Linked DNA regions of Tribolium castaneum. The protein of the gene in region 1 purifies or fractionates together with the protein of each later gene. This does not show direct contact. Links are inferred from orthologs where the notes say so. Each region holds a gene or a part of one and is shown in the gene's direction. Other genes may lie near its edges.

What was found. The genes of interacting proteins can lie anywhere in the genome.
Region 2: the proteins of Vps50 (region 1) and Vps51 purify together in Homo sapiens (affinity purification with mass spectrometry; 7 studies listed by BioGRID and IntAct, counting the BioPlex papers as one, with this or other methods). This does not show direct contact. The link is inferred for Tribolium castaneum from reciprocal best matches to the Homo sapiens genes VPS50 and VPS51.

Annotation. Positions count from the first base shown.
Region 1 is NC_087401.1:9,938,142-9,943,504, reverse strand, and holds the start of Vps50 (syndetin), read left to right. Parts: upstream 1-1,620; 5' UTR 1,621-1,795; coding exon 1,796-1,840; intron 1,841-1,883; coding exon 1,884-2,072; intron 2,073-2,121; coding exon 2,122-2,433; intron 2,434-2,479; coding exon 2,480-2,668; intron 2,669-2,715; coding exon 2,716-2,934; intron 2,935-4,590; coding exon 4,591-5,363. Other genes in the region: Gug (arginine-glutamic acid dipeptide repeats protein), read right to left, coding at 568-627.
Region 2 is NC_087395.1:17,182,087-17,187,646, forward strand, and holds the start of Vps51 (vacuolar protein sorting-associated protein 51 homolog), read left to right. Parts: upstream 1-2,066; 5' UTR 2,067-2,171; coding exon 2,172-2,252; intron 2,253-2,298; coding exon 2,299-2,433; intron 2,434-2,477; coding exon 2,478-3,304; intron 3,305-5,429; coding exon 5,430-5,560. Other genes in the region: Ttd14 (TRPL translocation defect protein 14), read right to left, coding at 1,303-1,340, 1,399-1,466, 1,515-1,572. UniProt on the Homo sapiens protein: Acts as a component of the GARP complex that is involved in retrograde transport from early and late endosomes to the trans-Golgi network (TGN).

The DNA of each region.
Region 1 (5,363 bases):
TACGCAGTACCAAACAAAAAGCAAAATGATTAGAAATCAATTCCCCACAAAACTACACATTTTTTATTTAGTATTGAATACGTTTTCTTAGTCTGCTGATCCGAGACTTGGGTGCCAAACGCAAGATACTGCACAGATCGAAAAAAAATACACCATTCATGCACAACATCATTGTAAATATGTATGCAAAAATTGAAACCGATACTAGCAATAGCAAGGAAAAAATAACCTTTAGAAAAATTTCTTTGAGAACGAGATTTTTTTGAAAATACCGCTTTCTAAATTTATTTGCCAGTTGGAGGCCAGTTGGTTTTCGGTTGAAAATTGTTGTCGATTTTGAGATATGTATAATTAAAGTAAAAAAAAGTGTAAAAACACATATTTTTTTGATTTGACAGTTCTCGGAGGCCGCTTAAGGTTATAGAATTTAAGCTACAGAAAATTTTATTTTTCCTTATAGTCTATAGCCTAAAGAGTTATAGCACTATAGCGTGCGTTTTCTTAGAGAATAGCACCACTAATTTCGAATAAAAATTTTGCTGTTACCGTGTTGTCGGTCTCACGTACATAAATATCTTTTACCTGGTTGCCGGGACCCACCCTAATCTCTCCTTGAGTTGTTGCCATTTTTTACCAATTAATTACATTTCTGAAATAAAACACAAATTGTAGCCAACACTTGTCGTTTCGACCTCCCCTCGATCGCCCATTGCTACGCTCCACCCACCCCTCCCCACTCCATCCGCAAATTCCCCTCCCGATTGATTGAATCATGCCAACCGCGATTAAAAAAAAATTGTCATTTATTCGAGTCCTTGACGAAAATAAGCATTTTTACGACACGATTAACCGAAAAATCAATAGTTTTACGATCAATTTAGCCGAGAGAAATGACATTTTAACGACTGTGTTTATAACGACGTCGCGTAATAAAATCCTCCTTCGACACTTCTTCCAACGCGGAAACAAAAGACAATCGATGTTGGACGCCGATTAACGGCGGAAATCCGGCCTCGGCTCACTAGATCGGATCAAAGACGCCGCAAAACGGGCCGTCAAAGGGCCGTCATCGGCCCGCGCGCACGCAATCATTTAACAAATTAACCCGTTAATCCGCCCCCCACCCCCGGACTTGTATACATAACAATTAACTTGTCAATCGGGATAATTAGCGCCGCAAACAAATGAGCGTCGGGCGTCGATTTCCGCACCAGGCGACCAAAGGAAATAAATCAAGAATGCAGGAAAAACAAACGAAATTCGCTACTTACCTCAAAGCTGGCGCTACATAATAAATAAAAGACGACAGGAAGGGTGCGAGCTGGCCCCCACGGGTGAAACTAACACTGATTTGGGGCGCGCGACACCACAGACACCCGTTTGCACACTCGGGGCACGGTTATAGCCCCCCGAAAACGGTAAATTGCACTGGAAATAGCCGATAATAGTGGTATCGATTCAGGCAGCCATTTTAACTTGGCCTTCCTTGATTTGTTCATTCACAAGTGGCGCCAGTGGCGACATCTGCACCAAATTTTCGCTAATTGGGCCCACCTTAATTATAATTAACACCACATTAAGTAGAAAATTCTCGGGCAAAAACTACACCAGGAACGTGACAATTTTGTCGCAAAATTTGCCGGAATTAACGCATTGCACAGGTTCCTGCTCGTTGTTCAGTGTCAATTCAACAGATGGCCTGTCGCTTGTCAAAATGACAAGTCAGTAGTATGTGTAAATAAATAAATAAATAATTAATATTTCGTTCGTCACAATAACGGTTAATAGTGTTAGGATGGACGACTTGAAGCACAAAATTCTGGGCCTGATCAACAAACAGGTAAGTGGTACGATTCGTATGAGCCCCCTTAAAGCGCTTCCAGGGGCCTAAAATCCCGTCGATGGGGTTCTCCGACGCCAATTATCACTTCCCCCAAGTGGAGAATCTATCAATTAATAGTAAGACAGTTGCTGAGACAAATAGGCCCTCAGACCAGGAGATTTTGGAAAGTATTGAAGCGGCCTATTTTTCCATCCGGGACGACTTTGACATTTGCCGATTTGAACTGGGGGTGAGTGTGAACCCTCTTTTGCCCTCTCAAATAATCAAAAAATTCGTAGAAGTTGCCCCAAACGCTCGACTGTGACCAGATCCAGCGCGACTTCAAAACCCTCAAACAGCAACACCAAGTGGTCTCGAAGAAAGTCCTCCAATTAATATTGGAGCACCAAAGTGGCTGTAACACCGAGTTCGATAAAGTCTTAGAGATTTTGGAGCAAGTTAAGGACACACTTCAGGAGTGTAAAACTAGTCGGAGACACTTAAAAGTGGCCGCGGATCAGTTCCGCGCCTCCCTTGAGCTCCTCGCCAACTACCGTAAACGCAAAATTGCGCAAAACCTGCTAAACAACCTCAAAATGATCAAATATCTCGTAAGTGAGGTTATGTCACTAGTGACATTTGAGGTTATGTTTGTAGCGGTGTTATGACCAACGATTGCAAGGGCTTTTACGCGATGAGGACTACGCGGGGGCGATCATTGAACTCAAAAAGTGCCACAAAATCGCCACCAAGTATCGACATTTCAGCTGCGTGGCCGCCCTAACTTATAAATTGCAAGAAACTTTGGAGAGTACGGATGGGCAACTTGACCGGGTTTTGGCACAGGTTTTTGGTGTTTTAACCAGTGTTAGATGCTAATTGAGGGGTTTTAGACGTGTTATCATTTTGATGGTGAGCGCTATCAGAAATTACTGCTTGCTTATCATTTATTGGATAAGTCTGAAATTTCAATGATTGATAATTTGCACGTCCATTATATCACTGCGATTTACAATACGTCGTTAAATGTGGTGCATTCGTACGTAACGTCGGCCGAAAGTATCGAAAGTTCGGAGACGAGTGGGAAAAATCCGTACAAAACGCTTTGTCAAGTGAGTGATTTAATCTCAGTTTTTTTCCCTTAATTACATTGATGAACATTATTTCTTTTTTATTGTCTACCACGTGTCTTTTTATTGTTTGTTATGCAGATTCTGAAAATGTACTCAAAAATTGGCCATCTCGTCAGCTGTCTGAACAAAATTATTAAATATTTCTATAAAAATACAGGGTGTGTCAGAAATATAAGCTGTTTCAAAACTATAGAAACGCCATTTTCTCTCAAAATTAACTGTTATAAATTATTGATTCACTTCAAAAAAGAATAAAATAACAGCTAATGAAAGATCTTTATAACTATTTTTTCAATCTTATTTAAAAAAATAATTCGGTGAAATGTGACGTTTGAAACAGTTAATACGTGTGTGAATTTTAACAGGTAACATAGCTCAGCAAATGAAACATTTCTATATTAGTAATTTTTCAATCAAGAGATTATTTAAATGTTCCTTTTGTTGCACCAAAACTGCCAAAATCTTTCAGAATGTTCTAGCAATCAAATAAAAGATAAATAAAAAGAAAAACTTTTTAATAAGCGCCACAATTCGGGAATAAAATTAACTAGACGCCCTCTGGTGACGACATGTCGTACTTGCCGAAAACAGTAACGAAATTTTCGTAATTCCTCATTCAATGAATTATTTAGCTGTTCTGCGTGTGTACTGTTTATTTCAATTTCTTACATTAGAGAGTTTTTCGTGATTATAAATTATTATAAATTATTTTTGTTGTAAAAGTGAAAAAAAAATTGTTTTTGATAAAAAAGTCTTGTTATAACATTTGCGTAATCAAAGACTATAAGTATTGGATCATAGCGGATAGCGAACACATGTTGGGTTAACAAAAAACAGTAAGTTATTGAAGTGTGAAGTTGAACATGGTTAAGGTTTTTGGCAAATAACTTCGAATGTGTTAGGATTTACGTTAGTGTTGTATTAAGAAAAAACGTTCATTTTCTAATTCCCCATCGAAAGGTTTAAAAATAAATAGAGGTTGCCATTTGAAATAAGCAAAATAAGAGGCTCTAAAGTTTAAAAAGTTTGAAAATAAATTGTAAACACACTGTAGTAATTCAGATCAATCAAAATTAATTAATAATTCTGTTAAACCCTGTTCAAGACGTACGTAGTAATAATTACATCAATAAAGCACCGTTTCTATTTTTTATTGATTTTTAAAACTAAAGGTGTAAAACCAAATTTTTTTTGTTATAATTTTTTTTAACAGTAATCTCTGAATTGATTAAAAAAAACTTTAGGGACATGTAAGAAGCTAAAAAGGCATTTTAATGAGCACTAAGAAATAATAGCATGCCATTAAAAAAATATTACTATGACGTCATACTTTTTTGAGACACTCTATATAGTAAAAAATATTTTCCTGAAATACGTCCTAGAGTATAAATAACGTCTACAAAATATTAAAAGTCCAGCTTAACTAATAGCTGATCTACAGACGACGGGAGCAGATTTGGGTCACCCTGTATACATATTTAATTTGCATGGAATAATAAAATTAGTTTATTTTGTTTTCTACAAAACCTGACGTGTTATTTTAACGTTTTTTATGTTTTATTATCCACTATTATAAAATAGAATTAATTTGGACATGATTTATAAAAAAATTGTCCAATTTTTTTTAAATTTTAGAGTGTTGGGAGCGACGTTTTTATTCCATGTCTGGTGAGTTTGTGCAAAGTCTTGTTCAAGATCGTGCTAAGTTACCACCAATTGATCAATTGGCATAACAATCAAGAGCAAGAGACAAATTTAAATAAGGAAAAACTGGACCACAATTTGACTAAAATCTGGGATGACGTGCAACGTAAAGTCTCAGGGCTTCTCCTCAACGCTGATTTGGCCTCTTATAAGTTCGACCAGTTCGTCCAAGTTTTGGGTGTTGTGCACCGCTTGATCCAAGTTGGCGAGGAATTTTGTCTGAGCAAATCGGACGATTTGCAAGAATCAATTCGTAAACAAAGCGTCAACTATTTCAAAAATTACCACATCCAGCGTTTGGAGGAATTAAAAATCTTTCTCGAGAATGAAATGTGGGAGATTTGTCCCGTTAAGCCCACCTTTACTCTCCTCCAATTGCAAGAGTTTAAGTCTTTAAGGGGGGTTCTTAGGAATTTTAAGTTGCGTCCGCCGGCCACAGGTGGCGCTTATTCGACGGCTTCGACTGATTGTTGTTCGTCGAACCATTCGCAAGATGGAAGTAGTATTGTTGGGAATTATTTTGTGAGATATGCAGAAAGTGGCACTCCGTTTGATTCAGGACTTGATGAAACTGTAATCGAGGAGGATATTCTTGCAGGGGAAAATGACGGGTCTGGTTATTTTTCGGAAGAAAGTGATGAAGAACCAGAAGAGTTGAGGAGGGATTTTGTTGATGAGGAAAATGCAAGTCCCAAGAAACGGGA
Region 2 (5,560 bases), on another chromosome or scaffold:
GCTAATTAAAAACATCTGCAAAAATGATTACATTTTTAACCGACTTGATAATGCAACTATTTTTTTATAAAGTTACTGTTTCAGAAATTAATGCAACTCCTTAATTTTTTTTTTCCGCATCAGCAGTAATTTCCTTTTACTTACACTGAAGAAGTGTTAAAACTGCATTGTTAATTTTTGCAAACGTTGAAAATATGTAATCAATACATTGAGTTTCTCTTATTTGTGTTATTTTGAACAGTTTTTGCAACCTTTAAAAAACAAATTTTCTTGACTATTTACACAAAAATCACGTTTTTTTTTTAATTACAAACACCCAAAACTTTATTTTTTATATTTCATTATTCAATAAGCCATACGTTTTATTCAGTGGTCATTTGATTCATATCAAACATAATTAATCTCAAATACGTGGTTGAAAAATGCTGATACATTTTCACAGCGTTAAAAATAGCAATGCATTATTATACAGTCATTGCATGGAAATTCTTATGACTATTCTTATCTACACTGTTTGGTGTAGCTTTTAATAAACAATATTCCACCTGTGCTATAATAAAATTTTTCCGCACAAAACCTCCACATAAATTCAACACTTGATTTATGATTAACATTGTCTGATAACAAAACACACCACATCACGTGTTCGAGTATACATTTCCGCCAATTTACAACATTTAAAACAAATCACGTTTTATGTTTTAAATTGATGCCAATCACTATCCTTTGTGATAAGTGATGAGATAACACAAAATGGCTTTACATAATCCAACCTTCTACAATTTATCTACAATATTGGATGATACTGCAATGTTTTGGGTAAAAAACATAATATTTGTTTTGGAACAAAAGTGAGGTCACTGGCAAGACCATAACTATTTATTTCTAATACCTAATTAACTGTGATTAAATTCATTAACTTAAAAAATAATGAAACGATTAGAGATATTGTTGGCCACCCATTAGGCCATTAATTTTAGCTCAAGTGATAAATTTAAAAACCACGTGCTCCCTGATCAGGGCAGAGATCCAAAACACAGTTGGGTATTCAAGAATTACGACCAGACTTTCAGACTCCACTAGGCCCCTATTTCTTGTGCATTTTGCATTAATTTACAAATTCAAAATTGGTTGGTAACAGAGTTGCCAACAGAAACAGTTATTTCGGACCACTCCGTATAAAAACTATAAACGGTCTTTTTGTGGTAAAAGGCCGGGTGCCAAAACACAATTTTATTATTTTCTGGGCTAAATATGGGAATATGACTCAATAAAACATTGGAAAACGCTGATGACACCTACCTTAGTAGAACTGAGGCGGTCTCCGGTACCCTGAAGACCTGTGGGAGCAATAAATTGGGTTGCGTTTTGGTAATAAAAAGTGAAAATTGGCGTTACCTTCCATCCCATATTTTCGAAAAACGTGCTCAGCCTGGCTTGACCGGTCGTTTTTCCGCCACATGGTCCTGTACAAACCCAAAATAATCTCGTGGAGGATCACATGGTCGACTTACCTCCTGTTAGGACAACTCTGTAACAGGTTTTATCGTTGCCACTGGTCGTTTTATCCATATTTCCGGTGTTTTGACGAAACTTAGTTTTTCCAATTGAATTTTGCTAGTATTCGAGAAGGTGATTTTGTTGTGAAAGGTGAAGAATGAAAATCAAAATTTGTAAGCACTAAAAGAAATAAACCGGGTACATGATCAAATTTTACTGTATATTGATTTCATGATTTGTTATTTCGCGAAAGCGACAAAGGCTGACACGCGACACCGCACAGACGCGGGACTAAAGAAATGTGAGCGAATTTGAGTCTTAAATAAACATCGTCGCTGATAAAATTACATTTTGGGGAGGGAGTTTCGCCGCAGAGGGGTGGCCACACTGGAATCAATACACGTGGTTCCCGTGGCGCAAACTTCGAATCCCTCGCCCATTTACGCAAAAAAACGACGCATCCTAAGCACAATAACGCCAACACAATAATAATCAATCACTTTGTATCGAATTTTATTGTAAATGAGAATTTTTACTGATTTATGAACTGTTTCGAGCTTGTGCACACTCTGCCACTAGCACACCTGATCATCTGTTTTGACGTTTTGGTGACAACAATACAAAAAATGTTTTTTGAGTTCTTTTTCAATTAAGTGTTCAAAAACCCAAAAATGGCGGAGAAAAAGCCCAGCCCCTTGGACCTGAACAGTCCCAGCTTCAACCCCAACATGTATTTGGATAAATTATTCAAAGTAACAATAGCCCCTTTTTCACCCTTGAACTGACACCCTCTTGCAGGAGTCCAACTTGAAGCAAATAATGGACCACGAGAGCGAAATCGTCAAAGACACACAAACCTTGCATTCCGACATGCAAACCCTAGTTTACGAAAATTATAACAAATTTATTTCGGCTACAGACACCATAAAAAAGGTATTGGTGCGTTTTTCTTTCCGAAAAGTGAATTAGTGCCGTAGATGAAAGTCGATTTCAAAAAAATGGAAAACGAAATGGACCTCCTCGCCTCAAACATGTCGTCAATTACGTCGTTTTCCGACCAAATTAACTCGACTCTTCAGGACACAAGGAGCCAAATTAGTAAATTGTCGGGGGTGCACACGCTTTTGCAGCGCCTCCAGTTTTTATTCAAACTGCCAACAAGCTTGAAAACTCGAATGGAGGAAAAGCGATACATTGAGGCGGTTCAGGACTATTTGCACGCCCAGCGTGTCTTGGAACAGTACGGTAACTTGCCATCCTTGCAAGGCATCAAAACCGACTGTGAAACCATCCTTATTGAGCTCAAAAAAGAACTGAGGAAGCACTTCAGTAACCCTCAAGCCTCGGCCAAGGAACTGACCGAAAGTGTGGATTTGCTCCTGCAACTGAACGAGCCGGCCAAAGAGTTGTGTTCTGAATTTTTGATTTGTGCCGAAAAACGTCTCAGTGACCAACTAGTCATGCTGAAGGACCAAAGCGAGCAACGGGACATTTCCGAATTTATTGATTTGGGTTGTTCGGGATTTTTGAGCGATTTGTGTCTGGTTGTGGCTTCCTTTGACGACATGTTTATCAATCGCAACAATTTGGATAATATCGAAAATAGTGATATTTTCGAAAATTTTGCTGCAACTGAACTCAACAACTTTGTTAAACAAAACATGGCGAAGTATTTCGATTTGGTGCAAAATAAAGTCGATTTGGAGCAGGATGTTGGAGATACGGCTGTTTTAGTTCAAGCCTTGGACCGGTTTTATAAAAGGATTGAAAGTAACACACTGTGCAGGGATGTGGATTTTTCGGCGTAAGTGGATAATCGTTTTAATTATTTTTTTGTTGGTAATTTTAAGTCTTCTTTTTAATATCTGAATTCTAGATTATAAACACTATTTTAAAACACGTTTGCCATAGCAACGTGTTTTGAATAAAAATGTCTTAACAAAAAAAAATTAATAACATTTATACGAAAACGCTGAAAGTTCTCGGGTGTCTAGGTATACACTCGCATACACTCGTTGCATAACGAAATTTAAGCTTGTGTTTTCGCACTCGTATTATTAATAACTATTTTTTTATGTTTTTGAATACAGTACAAACTCGTTTTTAGTCATTTTAATTTTTAACCAATCAAAACAATACTACAAAGTGATTTTAAATGACTTCTATTTAATTAATTTTATGGAAGTTCATTTATAAGTTAGTATAATACATCACTTCATTACCTAAAATTATTTTCAAATCTACAGCGGTCTTGAGAAATCAATTAGGTACAATATAAACATTTTTTTTATGAAATATTTTTTATTTTACTGAACGTAGCTTTCAATATTGGTATTTTTCTATAGACTTTTACTGTAGATTCCGCTTAGTTTTTGAAATGTAATCTAATTTTTTTTTGTGAAAAGTACTACACAAAAAGTAAAAATACGAGCCCTAACAACTAAGGGCCGGTTTATAAAAAGCTTTGTTAAAAGTTAATTCGTCGCTAAAAGTTAACAACGCGAATGGACCAATTAAATTTGTTCAATTTGGTCACGTGATCAGTTAATCACGCATTTAATTGCAGATTAACTTAATGACGTTTCTATAAACCGACCCTAAATGTTTGAAAGAATACATTTTTGTAAAGGAAATGCATGTCAAGCTACTGAATGTTTAAATTTAAAAAGGCATATTTTTAACGAATCTGTAACAGAATTCAGGCGTTTTATTGTTCCAAATATGTTCTGTTTTGTTTTTTAAATCTTTCAATTACCACTAAGAAAGATTTCTAGGATAACTTATCATTTTGTGCCAAAAAGACACAATGATATTGAAATCAGGGCTAATAGCTGGTCAAGGCATAACATTAATGTAAGAATTACCAAATTATTAATTCAAAAGTTTTGTGGTGTGACAAGAAGCACCTTTTTTTTTAAATAAACATACCTTCGGGAACGTAATAATTTTTTTTAGAATCCCATGAAATTGAAGGTCAAATAATAATACAAAACTGGATAGTCATATGTTAAATTTTTTAGCTCCTTACATTGCCAAGCGAAGTGGGAAAATTTCATCGTTTAATTTTTTTTTCTAATAACTTATTTTCTAATAACAAAGTTCAGAAAACACTTTAGTATTTAGTATTTAGTGAATTTCATAAGTTTGAATCCATACAAATTATAAATAGTATTGTTGTAATAAAACCAGTTTGATAATAAATAAATAAAATGAATAAAAATAAAATAAAACTAAATAAAAATAAAACAAGATTTCGTCCAAACATTTAGTTATTAGGGCTCGTACTACAGAAATCAGGTTTTCACATTTTTAAAGAAAGTTCAAACTTAAAGCTGTACTACTTGTACACATAGTGCAATTAAGAACTTAAAAAATTACTGTAATAAGAAATAATAGTTGATTTTTTTAATATCTTTTTTGTAAACACTTATTAAATGTTTATGTTATTTATTAGAAAGACAATTTGAAAGTATTTTACGAGCAAAAATAAGTAATACGGCGTTTCCTTTAAGAATTTTAAGTTATTTAAACTTTTAAAACTTTAAACTTTTAAACTTAAAAGAGAGTTCTTCATGTTTTTATCATCTCAGCTGTAACTCTCCAAAAAATATTAAAGCACTAAGGTTCATACCTTCCTCTTTTAAGCTGAATCAGTTTCATTTGTTTAGATTTCTTAGTTTCGGCGTAATACATTTTTACAAAGTGTGTTCTTAAAGAAATGAAATTACATAATATAGATATTTCAAAAACCAATCAACATTAACCAGTTTTATTAAAAATGCAATAAATCTAGACTACTAATAAAAAATCGCTAAATCACTAACAAAAAAGGTCAATTTTCTAAAAGTATGAAAGGGAATTTGGCTTTCGTGTGAAATTTGTCATTTTGTTCTATAATTTATTTCCACTTTAGTAACATTACATTTTAGTCTTGCGACCGAGATTGTGATAAATGCAGGTCGGAAACAGTGCAAAGCACATTTGCAAATCCTTAAAATGCACTTTGCTGATTGTTTGACCAAAGTGAGGCAAAACTTGACGACTCCAAAGCTGATAAGTC